Linked DNA regions of Rhinolophus ferrumequinum. The protein of the gene in region 2 binds, or shares a complex with, the protein of the main gene of each other region. Links are inferred from orthologs where the notes say so. Each region holds a gene or a part of one and is shown on either strand. Other genes may lie near its edges.

What was found.
Region 1: KAT2A (region 2) and TADA3 share a complex: the UniProt entries of both Homo sapiens proteins name them as parts of the STAGA transcription coactivator-HAT complex. The link is inferred for Rhinolophus ferrumequinum from reciprocal best matches to the Homo sapiens genes KAT2A and TADA3.
Region 3: KAT2A (region 2) and TADA2B share a complex: the UniProt entries of both Homo sapiens proteins name them as parts of the TFTC-HAT complex. The link is inferred for Rhinolophus ferrumequinum from reciprocal best matches to the Homo sapiens genes KAT2A and TADA2B.

The regions. Positions count from the first base shown.
Region 1 is NC_046300.1:44,115,860-44,123,831, forward strand, and holds the start of TADA3 (transcriptional adapter 3), read left to right. Parts: upstream 1-4,894; 5' UTR 4,895-5,011; intron 5,012-5,193; exon of another isoform or gene 5,194-5,696; intron 5,697-6,393; 5' UTR 6,394-6,414; coding exon 6,415-6,621; intron 6,622-7,972. Other genes in the region: ARPC4 (actin-related protein 2/3 complex subunit 4), read right to left, coding at 560-671, 1,902-2,020, 4,794-4,796. UniProt on the Homo sapiens protein: Functions as a component of the PCAF complex. The PCAF complex is capable of efficiently acetylating histones in a nucleosomal context. The PCAF complex could be considered as the human version of the yeast SAGA complex.
Region 2 is NC_046304.1:37,969,249-37,976,989, reverse strand, and holds the start of KAT2A (histone acetyltransferase KAT2A), read left to right. Parts: upstream 1-4,653; 5' UTR 4,654-4,677; coding exon 4,678-5,112; intron 5,113-5,245; coding exon 5,246-5,369; intron 5,370-5,712; coding exon 5,713-5,858; intron 5,859-5,964; coding exon 5,965-6,054; intron 6,055-6,340; coding exon 6,341-6,522; intron 6,523-6,611; coding exon 6,612-6,803; intron 6,804-7,675; coding exon 7,676-7,741. Other genes in the region: RAB5C (ras-related protein Rab-5C), read left to right, coding at 648-741, 1,273-1,388; HSPB9 (heat shock protein beta-9), read right to left, coding at 3,030-3,512. UniProt on the Homo sapiens protein: Protein lysine acyltransferase that can act as a acetyltransferase, glutaryltransferase, succinyltransferase or malonyltransferase, depending on the context.
Region 3 is NC_046288.1:84,604,900-84,612,065, reverse strand, and holds the start of TADA2B (transcriptional adapter 2-beta), read right to left. Parts: upstream 3,079-7,166; 5' UTR 2,958-3,078; coding exon 2,688-2,957; intron 1-2,687. Other genes in the region: CCDC96 (coiled-coil domain-containing protein 96), read left to right, coding at 3,560-5,218. UniProt on the Homo sapiens protein: Coactivates PAX5-dependent transcription together with either SMARCA4 or GCN5L2.

The sequences.
Region 1 (7,972 bases), on a different chromosome or scaffold from region 2:
CTAGTCTGAACTTAGTGACACTGTTTTGTTTTCATTATGTTTATGTTTATTTTTTAGACTCCCTCTATTTGGTGAGTGATACTGTTTTCCCACTTATGGCATATTCTTTTTCAAACTAATTTGAGAAGAAAAGTCAGTTTAAAGAAACCCATTCAGTAAATAACTGTCCAGGTGGCACGTAAATACAAAATTGTGGAGATGGTGGGAATGTCAGCTGCCTGAGGCAACATTGTACTTTGTTTTTCACCCTAAATCTCACTTTCAGAATTTATGGCTATCAAATTGGTACTGGTACTATTTATTTTTTGTAGTGGATTCTTCCTCATTACTCAGGAATGGTTCCATGCCCTGACACCACACTGGCCCATGGCCTGAGCTGCTACATTCAGAACAAGGCCTACAGGACAGAATGGCTCACTCTTTATTCTACTGACTGGCTGAGTTTGGCAAATCATTTCCTGGGTACATTTAAGGAAATAGAGGGTTTCCTTGCACCCTGGTCTCTCGGATGGGGGATCCCCGGCCTCCTAGGGAGGCAGGGGCTCCATGGCGAGCTCACCTGTTTCACAGCAATGCTGACCCGTACAGAGTTGATGGAGCCCTCAATCAGAACCTTTTCCTTCTCATTCCTGCTGATGGTCACAGGCTGTAACAGGAGCTCTTTGCTACTCCTGAAAACACAATGTCACAAATGCCTCTGTACTATAGAGGAACAGAATGCTTAGGGACACCCCACAGCAGGTCCTGGAATCACTATCTGAGACCAGAGTCCAAGAAATAGGAGACTCACAAGCAGGGGTGCTCCAAGATGGGGGCCAGTGAGTGTGTTCTCCAGTGGAAAGAGCACAGGCTCTGGAGTCAGGGCGAAAGGTTTTGAAATCCAGCCTCCTCTGTTACTTTCCTTGGGCAAGTTACCCTCTTGGAATCTCAATTCTCTCATCTGTAAAATGACTGATTCCTATTTCACTGGCGAGGACTGAGAGAGATCAAAAAGGGTCAAGTGTCCAATAGCGTGCCTGGCACACGGTAAGAGCTTTACAAATGGCAGCTCTTATTTTAATAACTATAGGCAAATCCACATACCATTTAGGGAACAAAAAGAGGGACTACCTTAAAAATAAGGACAGGCTAAAATCAAACACAGTCAATCCAGAATGACTCACTTATTCAGCATTAAGACCTCTCTCAACTCAGTTCCCATTCTGATGTCTCTACTTCCCTAGATCTATATAATGATAATTCACTGTGGTGGTGGTGTCTGTGAATTGTTGTCATTTTAAAACGCCTAGTGGAGATCATATATGTAAAGTAGCATAACATGGCACATGCTAACATCTTGTGTGTTTTTAAAAATTCAAATCATATCAACATAGTGTGGTAACACCACATCTCAGTTATAGATGTATGTCCCAGATTAAACTTTAAATGGAAAAAAAGAATCATCTGTTTATAAAACATGAACTAGATGAGAGAGAGACTATAACCCAAAATGCAGAATATCTGGAGTAGGAGATGAGAGAATACAGTTTGGGGGTGGAGGGGGGGGAGAAAAAATCCTTGATCTTTAAGAAAAGGATGGAGATGGCATCTAACTAAATCCTCTCAGCCAGTGGGTTCAATAATGCCACAGGAAATACTTCATGAACAACTCTACTCTGAAAAGTCATACCTTGTGTCAAGCAATCTTGGCTCCAGAGTAGATTCTCCCCTGGGTTTTGTCCTGCCAACCTACTGACCCTATTTTCTGAACTCCAAATTGGGAACCATTGTTCATCTGGCAGCAAGACAAAATATGTGAACTGTGGTTGTCCTTCCAGGATGGAAGTTCATGGCACCTTCTCAACAACAGCCACCTCTGGGGCTGTACCTATCACCCCTACCCTGAACTTTTCCTTCCCTACCTGACTTCCACCTCCGGCTTGTTGTGTCGTTCCACGACCTGGGAGGAGAAATTCTCCAGGCAGAGGGCAGCCTGCAGTGTGGCCCGCACGGCACTCAGGTAGGGGCGGAGAGTGGCAGTCTGTAGGAAAAACCCCAAAGGAGGATCAGAATCTGTCTCACCAAACACACTGGTCCCCTGCTCCAGCTACACAGGAGCCAGGCAGTACTGAGGGTGCTGGATTCTCAGACACCGAAGAACAGACTAAGCCTTCAAGGTGCCTTCCAGTCTAAGTCTGGAGCAGTGGTTCTCAACAGGGGACCATTCTGCCTGCCAGGGGACATTCGGCAATGTTAAAACATTTTTTACCGACATGACTTGAGATGGGGGTGCTACTGGCATTGAGTAGAAAGAGGCTGGGCAAACTGCTAAACCTTCTACAATGCACAACAAAGAGTTGTTCAGCCCCAAATAGTGCCGAGGTTGAGAAACTCCGGTCTAGAAGCATACAGGTAAATGAATGATTGTCCTCAATCTGTCTTTTGAGCCAACAAATGGATAAATCTACTATGTGCCAGGCACTGAGCTAGGGGCTGGGAATTCAATGATTAAGACCATCTCTACCCTTAAACAGCTCAATGCGGGGAGAGACTATGATACAAAGAAGAATAACTGAATTAGATTTACAAGTTATATTTGCAGAAGCAATTGGCTTTGATTTGAAGATGGAAATACAATTAGGAGTACTTTAGAATGAGAAAAAAAGAGTAAGGGCATTCCCACTAGAAGGATCAGCTTCTAGCTACTCTAACTCATCTTCATTTCCTTACATTCGCCAAGTTCTTTTTCCCCTCAGAGTTTCACACTTGCTGAACTATCTATCTGCAGGCTTTTCTACCCTCTTGTCGCCTAAGTCATCCTTCAGATCTTGGTTTATTCAGGGACAGCCTCTTCCTTCCTCAGAGAAGTCTTTCTTGACTTCCCCTTAGTAACAGTTCTTGTAATTTACAATGATACATCCTTCAAACATCTTTAGTAAAGCGATTTCTCTTTCACTAGACTGCAAGCCTCAGGGTCAATAGACCGCGTCTATTTTATTCAAATCTACATATCCTGCTCCTAGCTCAGTTAGTACCTAACCTATATAGTGTCATTCATTTTCTGTAGAATAAATGAATGAATGAAAGCTGTAACTTAAGCAAGGTTAGGATTAACACAAAAGGGCATTAAGAGTTCCAGAAGTAATAATGAGTACAATGTTGCTGTAGGAAACATATTTTAGATTTAGTAAACAAGGCTGCAGTGGTAGTCTGGAGATTCATGGGGAATCTCAAATGCCAGGCTACTGAGTTTAGCTTTTCTTTTAAGGTGGTAAAGAACTGCTGGGACTTTCTGAGGGGGAAGTTATAGGACCACAGCTGCAGGGGGGCTCTGTGGAGAATGGATTGGAGAGGGAAGTAAGACATAAGGCAGAGAGAGTTATTCAAGGAGTACTGATGAGAGCCTAGACTGGGGCCTTAGAGAGGAAAAGCACAGCAGTTCGACTATAACATAAGTATCAGAGCAATTCAACTGTAACATAAGTATCACAGCAGTTAGACTGTAACATAAGTATGCCAGCGATTAGACTATAACATAAGTATCACAGCGGTTAGACTACAACATGGTTAGACTATAACGTAAGATGTAGATAATCATGGAATTAAAACACCTCCCAACAAACTACGCTCCATTGATACAATTAAATACTACTCAGAAATGAAAAGGAGTAACTACTGATACAACACGGATGAATCTCAAATGCACTATGGTAAGAAGCCACATTCAAAAGCCTACATACTGACAATTCCATTTATATTACAATATGGAAAAGGCAAAATTATTGGGGGGTTAAAATCAGTGGTTGCCTGGGGTCGGGGAAAGAGGAGGAGGCCTGATTACAAAGGGACTGGCGGGAACATTTTGAGGTGATGGGAATGTTCTGTGCCTTGATGGTAGTGGTTACGTGATTGTGTGTGTCAAAATTCATAGATGATAAACCGGAAAAGGGTGAATTTTAGGTGGCCAGCCCCATGACACCTGCCCTTTCACAAATAAAACAGTCTCATGCAATACCTCAATAAACCTGATTTTTAAAAAATCAAGAGGTATGGCCAATTTAAGAAACAAAGAAGGAAGAGCGAGTTTAGGAGAAAAGAGGAGTTTTGATCTGGAGGTTTAATGTCAAAGTATCTTCAAGATATCCAGGCAAACCTTGGGAGACACCAGAATACACAAGGTCATCAAAGCCAAGGGACTAGACAGGTACATTACTCCCAGGAACGTACACATTTATCAAACAGGAGGATTTCCAGGGAGAGAGATCAGCAGTATCAGATCTTACAGTAAGGCAACAACGTTTTTGTTCTGACCAGGAAGGGGCTCGGGTGGAGGCAGCTTAAGAAATCCTTCAGTACGGTAGAATCAAGGTAGGGGGTAAGGAGAAGAGTGGGATATGGAAGTGTAGACGCTTCCCTGGGGAAACTAGAGAGTCTGGCGGGCAGGAGAAAACAGAGCAGTGCATTTAGTGAAGTTCTATTCCGGGTGGGGAGGTAGCCCTACCACCTGAGCGCTAGCTACTACGAGCCTAGGAGGTCTCACTTCCGGCTTCCTCCATGCCTCAGGTATTCCCTACCTGTCTCCAAAGACAGACTGTGAAGTCACCATGCCTACTTCTTACGAGGGCGTTCCCCGCTCGCCCCTTCCTCCCTTCGACCCCCACCCCGCCTTCTTTCTCCGAGCCTCATCGTGCCCCCAACTCCCCAGCATCCCTCGGCCCCAGGCCTCTCCGCTGCAAAGCCGTATCTCCCCCAGACCCACAACTCTGAGACAGAATGGGGGGGGGGGTCCCTGGCCCGGGGCCCGGCTCTCTCACCATCGCGGGCGCTGGCTGGGCCGGAAAGCGGAAGTACGGAAGTGGCCAGGCCCGCGACGCCTGCCCTTTCGCGAGAAGCGCAGCCGCAGTCTCCGCCCGGACTTCCGGACAGTACCATCTGTGCTCCGAGCAGGGTGAGGAGAGCCTCGGAACGCTGGGTCCCTTGGAAGTTTTCCCGCTAGGACTGCCTTGGTATCTTTAGACTGCTGCAATTTCAGGTCGGTACTCAAGCTTCTCCCGTTATCCATGCAGCTCTCGCTTGTGACTTTGGCTTTCTTGTCCTATTTGCCGCTTTCTTTCCCCATAGTCATGCAATGGTGCCGCCCGGCCGAAGGTTGGGCACCATATTTGGACAAGGCGAGGCGGAGGAGCCCTGCGTTCCTTCCGGTTCTGCGCCCCCATCCTTCCCCCGAGCCCCTCCTACCGGCTGCCTCTGGGGCTCGGCGGAACTAAATGCCTGACCGAAAACCCGGCTGCCGAGCCCCGCCCTCCAGCCCTTGGCTGTTCCCTCGGGTACCCGCGGCGTAACCCCCACCCCAATTGCAGTGGTCCAGCTCACGGCCCGCAAACCCTCCCCCGCAAGGCACCGTGAGCTCTCCCTCGCGTTTCTCCGCCCCCGCGTCAACTGCAGGGGCCCCGCCCATAGCCAGTTGCGAGCGGTAGATCCGACCAACCGGAACTCCCCACCCCCTCTCGCGGCCCGGGGGCCGTAGGAGGCCAGAGTGTGGAGGTAGAGGGGGCAGGAGCCGCGTTAGGGGTCTCGAGTGGACGGGGACCCTGAAGGCGGGGCATTGGGGCGACCCACGGGTGGAGCCAGCCGTTAAGCAGTCCCACTTCTGTGCCAGGCACTGAACTGGGCTCTTGACGAGCATCATCTTTTAATCCTCAGAACATCCGGGGGAGGTAGGTACCATTATTATCCCCATTTTACAGATTCAGACTTCTTATGGGGAAACAGACCCACACTACTTTGTCCCCATTTTGCAGTTGGAAAAACCGAGACTCAGGAAAGTTAAATGGCATATTCAGGGCCACATACATAGAGAACGGCAAAGTTTGGGCTTGGACCCAGGTATGTCTGGCTTACCATATCACATTCTTAACCACTGTCGGGCAAAAATAACCGGCAAAGTGGGAAGGAGTGAGACAAGGTGAAGCAGGGAGGCACAATTGAGAATGGGATGCTTGGAGCTCAGAGGCTTAGCAGAACTCACGAGAAGAACAACAAAAGAAAAGAGCATCAGGAAGACGTGGCATAGTGTATCATGGTAGTGAGGGGCTCAGACTCAGAAATACCTGGATTCAAAGTCTTGGTAAGCTTGGGCATGTACCCACCCTTACAAAGTCTCAGTTTCCTTATCTGTAAAATGAAGAGCACCATGGTCCCTGCTCAGAGGGTGAGGAATCAGTGAAAAGCTGGTAAGATGTCTGCACCTTGCTTGGTGCACAGTGGGTGCTCTCGGAGTAATAGCAGTGCCATCAGTCTTGTCAATAGGGTACTGAAGTCGGGCTTTCTCCTTGAGGCTGTTCCTGGATGGAGGGAACCCTTGGGCTTTCCTTGTGCCACTTTACCTCCCATCAATGTCCCTCTCCTTTTCAGCTCCGCAGGGTATCCTGGGCCATGAGTGAGCTGAAGGACTGCCCCTTGCAGTTCCACGACTTCAAGTCTGTGGACCACCTGAAAGTCTGTCCACGCTACACAGCAGTGCTGGCCCGCTCTGAGGATGATGGCATCGGCATTGAGGAGCTGGACACTCTGCAGTTAGAGCTTGAAACCCTGCTTTCCTCTGCCAGCCGGCGCCTGCGGGTGCTGGAGGCCGAAACTCAGGTGATACCCTACAGAGACGACGTCACCAGGGGTAGACTGATAAGTTATGGGATGGCTCATTGAGTTCGTCCCATCTGCTAAGGCCTGGGGTACAGGAGGTTGCAGGGGGGACAAATTGGGTTCTAGGGACACAAAATAAGCAAGAACATGTGTGATCTCCATAAACTGCAAGATTTCTAAGCATTTATTGACAACACAGCCCTCCCGCCCCCGACCCACCCCTTATGTTCTGGGTCCTGTGCAAGTCATTAGAGAAAGATAATTAAGACAATTCTGGCCTTCAGGGAGTTTGCTAACTATAAGTGGTGGGGGGCTGGTTAGACAAGTACCAGGTGATGTGTTATGGTTAGGGGGAATAGGGGAACTGGAATGAGGAGAGGATTTGAATCCTGGACTAAGCACTAGTTAGTGTTAGTTTCCTAGCTCTGTGACTTTGGGAAGATTACTTCCTATTTCTGAGCATGTTTCCTGTCTGCAAACTGTGCCGAATAATAGGACGTACCAAAGAGGATTTGTGAGGATTAAGAGAGGTTTTTTGTTTCGGTTTTTTTTTGCGAAGTCTGAGCCCAGTTTCTGACACTAAGTCAGCATTTTAAATGTTAGTCATTGGCACTACTCTCATCTCTCTTCACTGCATAAACATCCTCTGGGGCCTGTGTGCCAGGTGCTATGCCAGATCCTGGGGGACAACTGGTTAAGATGAGCTTCCTGGTCTCCAGCAGCTTATAATCTAGTCAAAAAGATAAAGTATGCTGTGCATTTTAGTATGTCCAAACAAGATGTTTGGGCCTACAGTGAAGGTGCAAAGTGCCAGGGACTCATAGAGGAAGAAGATGCCATTTCAACTGGACTTTGAAGTATGAAGAGCGTTGACTTGTGGTCCCTGAGAATCCACTGAAGCTTTTTGAACAGGGTTGTGGCACAACCCGTTGTATTTTAGTGTCTAAGCATCAGGTAACTGATGTGAAGAAGGCTTCCCAGTTGTGACTTTCAAAATGAAGGTTTGCTGGGAGGCTTGCTTGCCTTCACCAAAAAGTTTCCACCAGCATATTTTCCCAGACCTAGCATGCACTGGGGTGTGATCACTTGTTTGGCCTTGCTACTAAACACCACCGAGGTGAATCAGAATACAGACAAAATGAATGGAATGATGAGAAGTATCTGAGTAAAATCCTGTAAGATGGACACAGAAAAGGAGCTGGGTTTTAAAGGATGAGTAGGAGTCTGCTAAATAAAAAGGGGGTGGGGAAAGACTTTAGCGCCTCCTCAAGTTCTAGATCCTGATTCTTCACTGGGGGAAACAGTTGTCCTCTGTCTTCCCTTCCCTCCCTCATTAACAGTCTCTCTGAAT
Region 2 (7,741 bases):
GACTTTTTAATGAAATTATTGAAAAATACTTTTTTTCATGTAATACCAGCATATAGTAAAATTTAAACAGCACAAGAAGGTATATAAATGAAATTTAAGTCTCTAATCCTAGAAAATCAAACTCCCTCCCCCACCCCAGTTCCTCACTTTCTCATCTTTCCAGAAATAGGCACATGTGTATGAATCCCTTTCTTTACATAGATGGGAGTGTGTTCTACATACTGTATTTTTTTTTACCAGTCCCTAACTGATGGACTTCTAGGTTGTTTGTGCTGCAGTCAACATGCACATACTTCTGTGCTTTTGTTCAAATGTGCAACTATATTTGTAGGATCACTTTCTAGAAGTATTTCCTAGCCTAGTGATTCTGAAGAACAAGAAGACAGAATGGACATAGGGAAACCTGAGTAAAACATCTGCCAGTGTTTGTGAGCTGAGAGGTGCTGTACCTGAGTGGGGGGTATGGGGCCAGATGTCTCAGAGGAACCCAGAGCAGGAGTGCTAGCAGCCTGAAAAGCCCCTGCACAATGTTGCTATTGTGTATAAGGCACTGTGATCAGGGAAGATTTTTTTTTATCCTGGGCCCCAGCCCCTACCAACTGTCAACACTTCCCTCCCACCCACTTTCTCACCTCTATCCAAATCAGGAAGCACAAGCCTATGCAGACGACAACAGTTTGCTGTTCATGGAGACATCAGCAAAGACCGCAATGAACGTGAATGAGATTTTCATGGCAATAGGTGAGCTGCCTCTCCTCCCGTCCCCACATTGGGGCGTAGAACCTGCCTGCTGCTCCGTAGTAGGTCCCTTCACCACCAGATCTTTCACCATTTTTAATATTGTGATAAAATCATTTTCTTCTTCATCTGACTCTCAGAGATAGATAGTTCACTCCAGAAGTTTCTAAAGCCTGGGCCAAAGTCTCAACATTTCATTTCCTGACCTCTTAGCTTGCCACCCATCTAAAACCCTGTGTCACCATCCTACCCACTTCTTAGGATTTTTTTTTAGGCCATTTGGCTCTGGAGTCATCCTGCCTGGGTTTGAGTCCTAGCTCTACCACTTACTAACTCTGGGTTTGAGCAAGTCATTGAACCTCTCTCTGCCTCAGTTTCCTGAAACACTCAGAATGCACCTGACACATGGAAGTGAAGCCCTCAGTATGTTCATTATTACTGATTGGGTGGTAAAGGCCAGATTCTACTCAAGTGGACTTGGGAAACAGTATTGGCCTACCCCCACAAACATTTTCTCCCTCCTCTCCCAAACAGCTAAGAAGCTCCCCAAGAACGAGCCCCAGAACGCAGCTGGTGCCCCAGGCCGGAACCGAGGTGTGGACCTCCAGGAGAACAACCCAGCCAGCCGGAGCCAGTGCTGCAGCAACTGAGCCCCCTTGCCCACCCACTGCCCCCACCTCCTCCGCCTGAATGACCCGACTGGAATCCACTCTAACCAATCGCACTTAACGCCTCGGGCCACCACTGCGGGGGCAGGGGGAGGGGTCCACCATGATTTCACCATATAATTTTGATCATAGGCCGGAGTGAGTTATTCCACCTGCACCTTTCTGTACAAATACTAATTCAATTTTAAGTCTTAAGTCACTTTTTTAATATATATGATCTTCTGCTCTTCCCACTTCCTGCCCTTTCTACAGCTCTCCCACTCTCCCTTTGCTGGTAGTAGCCACCGCCCCTGTTCCTCCCACCCGTGTATATGGGGAGGCAGGGGTGGGAGCAACTACCCTCTTTTCCTCTTGCTGATTAGCAGGGTCAGCAAGAGCCTTCACATCCTTACCGTGTTTGGGGTGGGCTTGGTTCTGGGTGGTGGGGCAGGCCCTGGGGCTAGGGAAGGGAGAGGCAGCTCTCCCTTCAGCTGCCTGGCATCAGGCTGCAGCCCCCCACCCCCACCCTCCTACCCCTGATTCACAGATGGGAGAAAAACCACAGCATTATTGTGACAGCCACGAACCCACTGCCCACAACCCACCCCACCCTCCTCGTCCTTGGTCACCCTGACCGACCTCTGGCTCTGAGCCCTGTTCTGACCAAATCACGATGATGAGTATTTGGGGGTGGGTGGGTAAGGGGGGTAGTGGGAGGGGATGGAACCAACTTTTTCTGTATTTTGTATTGTATGTTTTCTTCAACATGTAACCAATCAGTATCTTGTCAATATAGTCAGCCGATCGATCGACCTCCGCTTGTCTCGCTTGTCTTTCTCTGGCAGAGCTTATCAGACCATATCCTCTCTGGCTTACTTTGAGGTTAATTTACAATGAACCACTGAATTTTGTTAAACAAAAGCCCCGCCCACCCAAGTGAGGAGATGCTGGTGCTCATGGTAACCAAGAGAAAGAGGCCCTTGGTTACCGGTGCTACTGCATGGGGTTGGGGTAAGAGTGACTTGGAACTGAATCTCACCGAGTTTGAAGAGGGTCCTACATTTGCCTCTCCCCCACCCCATCCAGATTACATTGGGGTGATTTGCAGTCTGGGTTTGAAAATAATTGGTCTCTGAAACACCAAAAAAAACTCTGGGGTCTTTGGTTACTCTGTACCAGGCCTGTGAGGGACTGGGTCCTCTTCCCCTCTTCCCTGAAGAGGAAGAAACACCTATGACCTCTGGAGCTTTGGACTGAGCGATGGTCAGGCCCAGACAGCAGCTTCACACCAGGTCTAAGCCATCTGCTCCCTGGTCTCTGGGGAGCCCTCTGCCGGTTCTGGAACCAGGTGACACTCTGGCCCTCCCGGCCCTCTGCTGCTCCCTGCTGGCGCTGCTGCTCTCATCTGCCAAAGGTTGAGGATATTGGTCCAAGCAGTGAGCTGAGCTGAGTAGGACAACACACCTCCAACCCCCACCCCCAGCTCCCACCAGGGCCACAAAGGCCTAATTCTTGGTGGACCACCACCTTGAGGTGCCTTTCTTGCCTCCCTCTACCTTCGTTATACCCCCACCTCTGACCCCAACCCTGATAAAAGACCACAGACGCCAAGGCAGCTGCTCACTAGGGTGGTGGTTTACCGGGTCAGGCTAGGTTGGAACCCTTCTTAGAGCCAGGGCTCCTGAGTCTCGAAGATGGACTTGTTAGGGCTCTAGGGGAAGGCAGCGCCTGGCACTGGCCACGGACACACAGCTGGCCCGAGGGGGTCAGACAGCAGGTCATGGCTGCAGGATCCAGGTATGATGGTAGTTGCATTTGCTGCTGCATCTTCTCTGTCATGCAGTAGCACCCCCCATCCGGGTTGTGGCCCTCCGTTTGCCGCTGTCCCGTCACCATCAGGCACTGGCCGTCCACTCGCACCACCAGCTCCTCTGGGGTGAAGCCGTGGGCATCCATCTTCATCCGGAAACCATTCTCCACCTGGATATCGTCCCACGCAGCTGCCACGTCTTCCCTGAGCAGCTGCACCGGCAGTACGGCCACTCGGTTCTGTTCGGCGAGGGCTACGCTGGGGGACCGCGACATCACCTGGTTCCCTTTGGGAAGACTGCTACTGACCCGCTGCATCCAAGTGAGCAACTGCTGTTCAAGGGCGCGAGGCCCAAGTGTAGTGCTCTACGCAGGACACAGGAGAGGAGGGACCCTCCTGCGCCACGCGCGGCTCTACTCTGGCTTGGCTCCACTCCCACTCCTCGCGGCTCAGCTCTGTTCAGTGGGGCTCCCTTCACTTAGGCAGTATGGGGTCAGCTACGCATGTCCTACATCCATAGGTCAGGTTGTCAGCCACCCTGGAGCGCCCCCTACTGCTTTTATCCTGGATCCTGCCCCTTCTCGGGACCCTCCCCATGGCCGGCCTGGAGCCCAACTGGGTATCCTAGGGGCAAGAAGATTGTCCCTTGGACAGAGCCACTGGAATGTGACCACTGGATCATCCATTCTCGGAATGTCCTGCCTTTCTCTGACCAGGCACAAACCTGTGACACATTGGGGACTGGGAGGTGGACACAGTCTTCCTGGCTTCCCTCATTTATCCATGCTGGGCCTACTGTGCGGCAGGCTCAGCTGGGTTCTGGGATCACAAAGATGAAGACGCCGGTCCAACCCTCAAGGTACCGATGGTATTGGGGAAGAGACGTTACCAAACGTAGGGAAAGGCTTCTGCCCTTGTCTGCTTCTACTTCATACCCTCCTTGGCAGCCTTCTTCGTGACCACAGCCATGCCTCTGGTGCTGCTTTATAATAAGCCCTTTTTGTGGAAGTATAACATACGTACAGAAAAGCACACAAAAGGGTACAGTTGAAGTATTCCAAAGAGAAATACACGTGTGTAACCACTTCACATATCAAGAACTAGAATTGTTGCTGCTGAATCTCCTCCGTAGCTGCAACTCTGTCTCTGAAGACATGTGGGACAGGAACAGGATGGAGGGGGGAGGGAGATGTACCAGGAAGCCAACTCGACCCCAGACGCTAGGTCTGCACGTCCACCATCGGGTCTTGGGAGGGAAGTCCCCCAACCAGAAGCCTGTTTTCTGGGATGCTTCTCCTTATCCCCAAGAGGACAGCAATCTTGACTATCCTGGAAGCCTTCAAGAGAGATTGAAAATGAAGAGGGGTTCAATCTGGGGTGCTGGCTTGGGCTTCTCTTGGCTGTCTGGGACCAAGAGACAGGATAGAAAAGTCTGGAAGCTGGAGGCAAAAGGAGCAGCGGTGGAAGACTACAACTCCCATAATGCTCCGAAGCAGCGACGCCTGCGCACTGAGCGCCGGTTGCCCATGCGGCCCTAGGGCTGGGAGCGCTGCGCCGCGCTCCGCTGCGGGGGAGGCCATGGCGGAACCTTCCCAGGCCTCCACCCCGGCCCCGGCCGCGCAGCCCCGTCCCCTTCAGTCTCCAGCCCCTGCCCCAACTCCGACTCCCACCCCCAGCCCGGCTTCGGCGCCGACTCCGGCTCCCACTCCGGCACTAGCCCCCGCCCCAGCTGCAGTCCCAGCCGGGAGCACCGGGACGGGGGGGCCCGGGGTAGGAAGTGGGGGTACTGGGACCGGGGGGGATCCGGCTCGACCTGGCCTGAGCCAGCAGCAGCGCGCCAGCCAGAGGAAGGCGCAAGTCCGGGGGCTGCCGCGTGCCAAGAAGCTTGAGAAGCTAGGGGTCTTCTCGGCTTGCAAGGTGGGGGCGGGGCCTGGGGTGAGAGGGCGGGGCTTGGGACATCCTAGGGCTCGGGTGGCAATGGGAGCCCTGGCTCGGAAGCGGCTCCACGTCCCTGGGGTACAAGTTTATTGACTGATCCTTCTGCCTCCAGGCCAATGAAACCTGCAAGTGTAATGGCTGGAAAAACCCCAAGCCCCCCACTGCACCCCGCATGGACCTGCAGCAGCCAGCTGCCAACCTGAGTGAGCTGTGCCGCAGCTGTGAGCACCCCTTGGGTAAGGCAGATAGTGCCTTGGAGCTGGTGGCGGGGAAGAGGCAAGTGCCTGGTGCTGCTTGGAGAGGACGACTTCAGTGCCGCAGAGCTTCATCTCTTAAGATGCCTTCTAAGGAAGAATTGGGTTGGGAATGTGTATCTCCCCAGGGAGGAGAAAGGAAATCTGCCAATTCAGAAGAAACAAGGGGTCACCCAAGGGCTGACACACAGGAGCAGTCAGTCTTAGTGCTGGTCACAGTGGTTGAAGAGACTGAGAGTGTATCATAGCTGGCGATGAAGAGGGCCAGAAAGCCCTGTTGATGTCTTCTGTCTATTCTTCCCAATTCTACCACCTGTTCTTGTAGCTGACCACGTGTCCCACTTGGAGAATGTGTCAGAGGATGAGATTAACCGTCTGCTGGGGATGGTGGTGGACGTGGAGAATCTGTTCATGTCTGTTCACAAGGAGGAGGACACAGACACTAAGCAGGTCTATTTCTACCTCTTCAAGGTGAGCTTTCTCCGCAGGAGAGTGAGCGAGCAAAGGAATTGAGGCTGGGAAGTCTGCATCTCAGAGCTCTGCTGACCTCTACGCCTCCCTCTTCCTCTTCCTCCAGCTCCTGCGGAAATGCATCCTGCAGATGACCCGGCCCGTAGTGGAGGGGTCTCTGGGCAGCCCCCCATTTGAGAAGCCTAATATTGAGCAGGTGGGATGAAGAAGGGGGCAAGAGAGTTGGGGGCATTTGGAGGAATGGGGAGCCTGTGTTCTCCATCCTCATCATACTGAGAACGGGAGAGGTTCCAAGAGGGGAACATGTGTTGTGCCAACCTCAGGGTGTGTGTGGGAGGGGCACAGTTTCTCTTCACATAGAGCTTCAGAATGAGAGGAGAGCCTTGCCGCTGCCCTTAGGAAGCCTCTATTTTGGGATAAGAAGCCCCTGCTGGCTGCTCACACCTCCTTCCTGGTTTTGTCTCCTGCCCACCCCTTCTCAGGGTGTGCTAAACTTTGTGCAGTACAAGTTCAGTCACCTGGCTCCTCGGGAACGGCAGACGATGTTTGAGCTCTCAAAGATGTTCCTGCTCTGCCTTAACTACTGGAAGCTTGAGACGCCTGCCCAATTTCGGCAGAGGTCTCAGGCGGAGGACGTGGCAACCTACAAGGTCAATTACACCAGGTAGGCCCAGCCAGCCTGGGGGGAGCTTGTAGGCCCAGCCTGAGTTCGGTGGTTTCCACTCTCACTTGCCACTTCCGCACTCCCTGCAGATGGCTCTGTTACTGCCACGTGCCCCAGAGCTGCGATAGCCTCCCCCGCTACGAGACCACTCATGTCTTTGGGCGAAGCCTTCTCCGCTCCATCTTCACTGTTACCCGGCGGCAACTGCTAGAGAAGTTCCGGGTGGAGAAGGACAAGCTGGTGCCCGAGAAGAGAACCCTTATCCTCACCCACTTCCCCAAGTAAGGCTCTTTCTGGTCTATCGTGATTTAGCCCCGAGTTCACATCCTCCCTGATGTCCCCTTTTTTCTAGGAAGGCTTCCTGGATTGGTCCTTCCTCTCCCTCCATGAGCCTTCTGGGATCTGGGCATCTACCTGGCAGATGTGCCCATGGGCCAGACACAACTTGCTAGCATTTGCCTTTGTGTGTATTAGGCTGGGGATGGCAGGTACATGGCCTGAGTGCTAACACTAGCCCTGTCCACACCCCTGGTAGACGTTACTAATTGTTTCCATGGGGCCTGGACACAGCCTCAGAATCCTTTCTACCACAACACTTCAAAAGACCAGAGTTTACGCTTGAGGTAAAACCAGTTTCCACTCCTAGTTCTTTCAGTAAGATTTTTCTCTGTTCTGCCACACCTTCTTCTCATTTTAAACGTGCTCATAGCTGTCCAGTTCAAGAAGCTTTTACTGACTAATCCAGGGCCTCCAGTGCCCCTTCTGCCCCCAGATGGGAATAAGGTGGCAGGAAGGGGTGGATTCTGGGCCCTATTTTGGCGCTGAGGACGAGCGTGACTTGGTGCCCTGTCTGGCCACATAGTACAGGACGGTGCCAGTTCAGCTCCTGTCTCCCTCATCTGTGCACTGGCAGACTGGGCCTCTGGTCTCTGTCTTGGATTTTGTACTGCCCTTCTGCCTTCGATGAGGGTCTCCCAGAAGGAGGAGGACTGTGCCTCCCCCTAATCTGAAGGCAGAAGTTGTCTCTGTTCTTAGGCTCCCAGTTCCTGAGAACAGGATCTGTTTCTTTGATCCACGTCCAGTGCCCCGGTGTCTGGCCCAGGCTGGTCCCTTGGTTGGACAGAGTGTGGGACAGACTGTCCCCTCTCCACAGGTTCCTGTCCATGCTGGAGGAGGAGATCTACGGAGCAAACTCTCCGATCTGGGAGTCAGGCTTCAC
Region 3 (7,166 bases), on a different chromosome or scaffold from region 2:
AGAAGCCAGGCCCCAGGCTGCTGCGAAGAGCACGTGCGACGTGCATGGAAGAGCCCGGTCCACATGGGCATGCGCTAAAATGGCACACGCGGAGCGTACCGCTATGGGCACATAGCCGCTCTTCTGCTCTGAAGGGAGCCACACACCTCGGGGCTGCGCAAGAGCCTCTGATGAAGAACACGAAGTTTCGAGGGTCAATCAGTGAGCCCGAGAGAGCACAGCCAGAAGCCTACTGGAGTCCCGCGGCTCAGAGCGCGGCCTGGGGACCACAGGCGGGCAGCACGCCAGGCGGTTAGCACGCACACCTCTGGCCTCCCCCTGAACCCACCAGGGAGAAGGCGCCTGGCCCCCAGGCCTCCGGCTGCGTCTCTTCTAACAGCTGCACCGGCTCTGAGTGGGAAACTGCATTGTAACAGGCTCCCCAGATGACTCGTGTGCACATTAAAGTTTGAAAAGTACTGCTTTAGAGAATGCCACCCTTTCAGCCCCTTGCTTCCTCCAAAACACTATAAATGTTTTAGTCCCTGGGCTTGCTTTTCATGTACTTTCCCTGGGCTTGCTTTTCATGCTGCACGGATGGCAGTGTAGACAGTGCAGCTAGGAGCTCAGACTCTGAAGTCCGACTACACAGTTCCAACCCGCTGTATAGGCTGCTGTGAAGGTCTAAGGAGACGGGCACAGCACCTGGCACTCGGCAAGGCTCCCGCCACGTCAGCTGTATGCGTGGCTACGGCACAGCTACGTGCTGTAAGGGTGACGTGGGCAAGGGACGTCTCCCTGAGGCACTGCCATGTAAGGAGAAAGAGCAGTCATGGACCGTGATCTGGGGAAGAGCCCTCTAAGCAGAAGGAGTAACACATGATCAAGGGGAGGCCGCTGGGATCCCACGGGTGGGTAGACACTGGAAGGCCCCAGAGGCCGAGAAGTTGAATCTGAGCAGGCCTGGAAACCACTGCAGGCTGATGGGATGTGACATCACATTCCAAGATCACTCTGATTACGGCGTGTGGAATGGGCCGCTGGGCACAAGAGCGAAGCCGGGCGATCGGACAGGCGGCTCCAGAAGTGGTCAAGGCAAGAGGTAAGTATCAGCCTGGACTGAGGTTGTGAGAAGTGGCTCGATTCTGGAAACAGTTTGAAGACAGAGCTGCTGCCGCACTGGACATGAAAGGAGGAGCTGAGGATGGTTGCTCGGGTGCGGCCTGAGTCACCAGGTGAGGTGATGTGAGATGTGAGTAAGGTAGGGCTGGGATGTGCATGCAGGTAAGGACGTCGGGTAGCGCTGTGACACTGAAGCCTGGAGCTGGGGAAGAGTTCCAGTCTCTGGACCCAACGGTCACAACCTTGGCAACGCCCTGAAGACAAAGACGAAACCTTTCTTGCCTTCAGAGTGTTTCACTATCGTATAACATGTTTGATATACATCAACAAACTGCATTTCCAGACAAAGTGAGATGGCGATTTCTGGAGGGTGGCGAGCTCGATGCTGCTGCTTAGCTGAGAATTTGCAGAGCAGTGTCTAAGGAGCTGGGAGAAGAGTAAAGAATCGCTGCAGAATGGGTCTTGGTCCCTGAAGATGGGCTCACTTTATGGAAAAGAAGCAAAAGGAAGTAACAGCAAGACAGGTTTGGGAATGAGGGAAGAAGTGTGGAATGTCTTCTACAGGGAGCCCAGGAGGAGGGGAGTACTGCTGCGGAAGGGGTAAGATGAACTGCTGGTTCAGGGAAGTAGGGGGACCATCACAGGGAAGGCTCTGGAAAGACGAGGGAGCTGGGGTCACGTCTGTCCTATTTCTCACAATGCCAGGAGGCCGCCACAAACCTGGCAGTTCTGGGCCAGAACACAGCCAGAGGTTTTCCTTTCTAACACGGCCGAAAGCTTCCACTTCCAGAGCGGGAAGAGAGCTCCTCAGAGACCACCTAGAGAAAAGCACCCGCGTTTCTCTCTCGAGGAGCCCCGCACCCTATCCTGCTGGTATAAATGAATCCAGCCCAGCTCTCCCCTTTTCCTGGCAGATAAAAGTCACCACAGAAGCTTTCTGAAGAGAGAACAAAACCCAGGACAAACGCGTCCTCGTCCATGCTCCTTTGTTCGGTACTTACTGACCCCCTCCTCACACGACGTCCTGGGTGTTGTGGGGACCCCAGGATAAAAAAGCCCCTAACAGGGGACAAGGGCGCACGCACAGAGAACCGCACAAAGCCAGCAGGCTGTGAGTACAAAGTAAGTGTATCAGAGATGGTGACAGCAGCCGCAGGGCGTGTGTGAAGCTTGCCTGGCCTTCGCCACCACTGTTCTCCAGGCAAAACAGTGCCTCCCAGTGCTCCCACTGCTGTCAGGGTTGCTAACCTGCCTACGTCCACCACTCCTACTCAGGTAAGGCGCTGGGTCTTGCCCATAGTCCGCACTCAGCAAACACCCGTGGAAGTACTGCTCAAGGGTAGAAAAATGGCTCTGCAGCCGAAAGCCACCGTGCAAATCCACGCTTTGCTACTTCCTGGCTGTGTGACCTTGGGCGTGTTGCTTAACCCCTCTGCGCTCCGGTTTCCCCGCGTGAGCTGCGTCTGCCTGCCTGGCCCTCGGTGGTGTGCGCTGAACCGGCAGGTGCGCATCGGGCTGCATTAGCCGAACAAGGGACTGAGCCCCCCGGCGCCTCCCGCCCGGGTCCGCGTAGGGACGGCGCTCACCCAGTTTCCGAAGCCGAACTGCTCGATGGCATCCAGCAGCAGCTGCTCCTCGCGGCTGGTCCAGCCGCCCTCGGCCTCGGGCCCCCACAGCGTGAAGCGCCCGCCGTCCACCAGCTGGTAGCCGTGGTAGCGGCGGTGGTGGCCGATCTCGGCGCCGGCAGAAAAGCACTCCGGGCAGAGCTCGATATCCTGGCACTCGGTGCAGCGGAAGCGCAGCGGGCTCACCTCGGCTAGGCAGTACACGCAGTACTTCTTACCGAGCTCCGCCATCTTCCCCCGCCCGCCGCCCGCGCCCGCCGCCGCTGCCGCGCCCGCCGCCCTCGGCGCCTCCCGGGCCGCCGCCGCGCTCCAGCAACCGCCGCCAGCGGCCGCCGCGCCGCCCCGCCCAGGCGCCGCCGGAGCCGGCCAGCCGGGCCGCGTCCCGCCTCAGCACGCAGGCGCCCTCCGGCCGGCCCGGCCGCCGCCGCCGCCGCCGTCGCCCCGCCGCATCGCGCAGGCGCCCCGCGCGCGCCACCGCGCGGGGACCCGGCGCGCCGCTCTGCGCCTGCGCGCCCCTTGCGCCGGCCGCCCGCCCCTCGGAGCCTCTCCAGACGCCCCGCCCCAGGCCTGGCGGTGGGAATTGGGCGGAAAGTTAACGCTGCGGGTGCGCCACGCCCCTCTCGGCGCGAGCCTACTCCCTCTCCCAATCAACGCCTCCCTTCGTTCGCTTGCGGCCTCTCATTGGCCTGATTCTGCAGGAAGGCGGGAAGAATGGGCAGGGCGCCGGGCTGACGCCTGGCCAATCGCCGGACCCACCGCGAGCGCCTCTGGTTGCCCCTGGAAACCTAACAGCCGGCAACTGGAGTCAGTGGCGCTGGCGGAGCCGGAGGGAGATGGACAGCCACTCGGAGCACACTGGGGACCCTGAGCAGGAAGACAGACATGTGGAGAGCCTGGCCGCGCGGCTGTCCGAGATCACGGCCAGCTCTGGCTCCCAGTCCCCGGCGGACACCGCGGAGCCGGAGCCGCAGCCGGAGACCATAGAGGCTGCTGAGGGAGGCGTCGCCGTGGCCGAGCCGGCCGAGCCCGCCGAGCCTACAGAGCCCGCCGAGCCCCGGGAAGGGCCAGAGGCCACCGAAGCCGCGGGCAAGGAGGGGCCCGGAGAGCGGGAATGGCCGACCGAGGCCGAGCAAGAGGAGGTGGCGGAGGCCGGACCTGAGGAGCCAGCCAAGCCGGAGTCCGAAGGCGGGCCCGAGGAACCCGAGGAACCCGAGGAGGAGGAGAGGGAGGAGGAAGCGGAGGAGAGGCGGAAGGAAGCCCCGTCGCGGAGCTCTCTGCCGCTGTCCACGACCGGCCAGGAAGAGGCTGCGACCGTCCCGGAGGCTGAGCGTGAGGGACGGGAGGAGGAGGTGAAGGAGGACGAGAGCGAGGGGAAGAGTGTGGGAGGAAGCCCGGCCAAGAGCGAGCTGGAGCTGGAGCGCCACGGTCTGGACGAGGGGCTCCAGGAGGGTCTGGAATGGACGGAGGAGGTGCAGAAGGCGCAGGAGCGGCAGCTGCGCACTGAGCTCCTGGAGCAGTACCGCTCCCTGGTGGTGGAGCGCGGCTGCTACCAGCGCTACAACATCTACCTGCAGCAGAAGATCTCGGATGCGCTGCGCAGGAAGAAGGGCCTGGACACAGCCGAGGGGGCCGACAGGGGCGCGGAGCCCGAGTCCACCGAGAAGGAGGAGGCATACTTCAGCCACCTCGCCGTGCTGGAGGAGCTGAGGAAGCATCAGGCGGACGACCTGGACTGGTATCACCAGGAGCTGGACCAGCTGAAGCTGCAGTGCGAGGAGAAGCTGACCAAGGTGGACAAGGCGTGGCGAGACTTCCAGGCGCTCAAGAAGCAGGTGATGCTGCAGGCCATGGGCAGCTGTCGGATGAGGGGCGGTCGCCAGGCCGCTCTGCGAGAAGTAGAGCAGATCCAGGCGCTGGAGGACAAGAAGCAGAAGGAGATGAGTGCCGTGAGGCTGGAGAACGTGCAGCTGAGGCAGGGCCTGGTGCATTTCGATACCAGGATGAGTGCCCAGGAGGACATGGCCGGGGGCCTGCTGCTCATCGACTTTGAACAGCTTAAGATTGAGAACCAGACCTTCAATGAGAAAGTTGAGGAGCGAAATGAGGAGCTTTTGAAACTGCGCAAGAAGGTGAACAACAACGTGCAAATAATTACCCACGTGAAAGAAAAGCTCCACTTTATGGAACTAGAAAATGCAGGCAGAAAGTCACAGCTTTTGGACATTGAGACTCAGGTGGCCCTAAAGAGGGACATCCTGACCAAGACTAAGCAAGCCAGAGACAGCCTGCGGGTTGACAACATCAAGCTGAATCTGAAGAGTGGCCTTCTGGGCAAGGAGTCTCTCCTTCGGGACCTGGAAGAGAAGGTGGGCAAGACGGAAGGGCTCCGGCAGCGCTTAGAGTCCCTGAAGCACCACCACGCTGGCCTTACCCTGTCCTGCCGAGGAGTGAGGCAGAAGATCCGGGAAGCTAGAGCCTTTCTGCCCCGTTGACATGGCTGATGAGAAGAGGCGGCAGAACGGCTCCTCTCAGCACGTTATCCTCCATCAACTTATTCTCCATTTGTTGCCACTCTTTAAAAGGCCTGTGATATTTAGGATGGAACTACATTTTGTATCGCATAATTTTTCAGCTTCCAAAATTGGGTTAGCGGTCAGTTTTATAGGGGTTAAGTAAAACAGGTCCAGAGACACAAACAGCAGTATACCTGACTTCTCCTAAAAAGCTGCTGAAAGCCTTTTTGTATCTGAGCAATTCCATAATTTCAATGGCCTGATACTGAGAACTGATCCTCTGCCGTATGTGGGAAGGTTCAGCCAATGGGCAGGACACCCCAAAATTCCTGTGCATTAAGCTAATTATTAAATCCCTTTGGATTTATTAAGCTGTGTAGTGTCAAGTCAGTCTCAATTCAAAGCTCACTAATTCCCTTAGATTAACCCAAAGTGTTTCCTTTGAAGCCAATAAAGGTTCATTAAAATCCCTGGCTACATTCCACAGCTTGAATATACTTTTTAAAATAATAATATACTTATCCAGCCACACACACGTAACAATGAAGGGAGTAAAATCTTTGACTTCTTACTTCCATTCTCCTTATCCTCTACAATTTTTGTTTTCTCTCGACCCGTTCATCAAAGCCAAAGTTAAGTAGTAAATCACTGGCGAACAGAATGTTTGCTGTGTGCCTCCAGCGAAAAGCAGCACTGGGTTCTTCTGTGGTTGGGGAGGCTTCAGAGTGAAACTGGCAACATGCTTGGTGCCTTCACCAAGCAAGCGGCTTTCATTATGAGTGTCCATCCCTTTGGTTCACTAGAGGGAGAACGGGTATCATCAGCTGATTTTGACCCATTGGCAAGTATCTAGGGTTGTGGGGACAGGAGTGCAGTTTCCAGGCTGTCGGCCTCACGTGGAAAGGTGCTGCTGGCTCAGGTAGTAAATGGCCATCAACTGTGATTGGATGGCCATCAGCTGTGGCTCATTGGCCGTCAGCTGTAACCATTGAGCCATTGGCCACTAATATAACTGCCGTGGCTACGCTAGCAGAAAATGGGGGCTAGCAAGAAGATGGTGGCTGAGCCTGCAAGCGCGGATTGCAGTTAGCATGGTGCATTGCAGCTGGCATGTGGGGTTGGTTGGTTGGCAGACAGAAGTGGACGGCGGGTTGCAGATCGTGTGGATCCTGTTTCCTGTGTCTGCAACCCAGCCACCAGCGAGAATATAGTAGTGGTATGACTCCCCTATCTATGGCTCCGTGGGTGTTCCTTTTTGGCCTCACCATGTCCTGCGTTCTTGTGTGGGGAGCGGGACCAGAGACCCTGCATGACACCCTGCATGACAAGGGTGAACCAAACATTCCCTCATCAGCCTTGACTCCACTCACAAAGAGCACAGATACAAAAGAGAAGGAAGAGGCTGGCCTTGTTTTAACGGGCACAATTACTGAAGCTCTCTCAAATTACATTACCGTATGCCGGAGATGTTACTGTTAATTAGAAGATACATAATCTGTTGATTACTTCTAACAAGGTTCTTTCTAATTAGATTATAGGCGAGCTTTTAATCATAAAATACCAACACATGCACAAATTGTTTCTTTAGATAGATTCCGTCTGAGGAAGCCTGGCAGAGCCTAAGGCATCCCCCCGCAGTCCTACTGACATGCTGTTTAGCCCCGTGCCAGCCTTTGACCCACTGCTTTGTGACTGTCTGCTTAGTTCTCTGCACCCCTACGAGGCAAGGTCCCTGGATGACAAGGACTTTTGGTTTGTCAACCTCCCCCACAGTGCCAAGGACATAATCGATGCTCAATACATTTATTAAACACAGGGCGGGCCCGGTGGCTCAGGCGGTTAGAGCTCCGTGCTCCTAACTCCGAAGGCTGCCGGTTCAATTCCCACATGGGCCAGTGGGCTCTCAACCACAAGGTTGCCAGTTCAA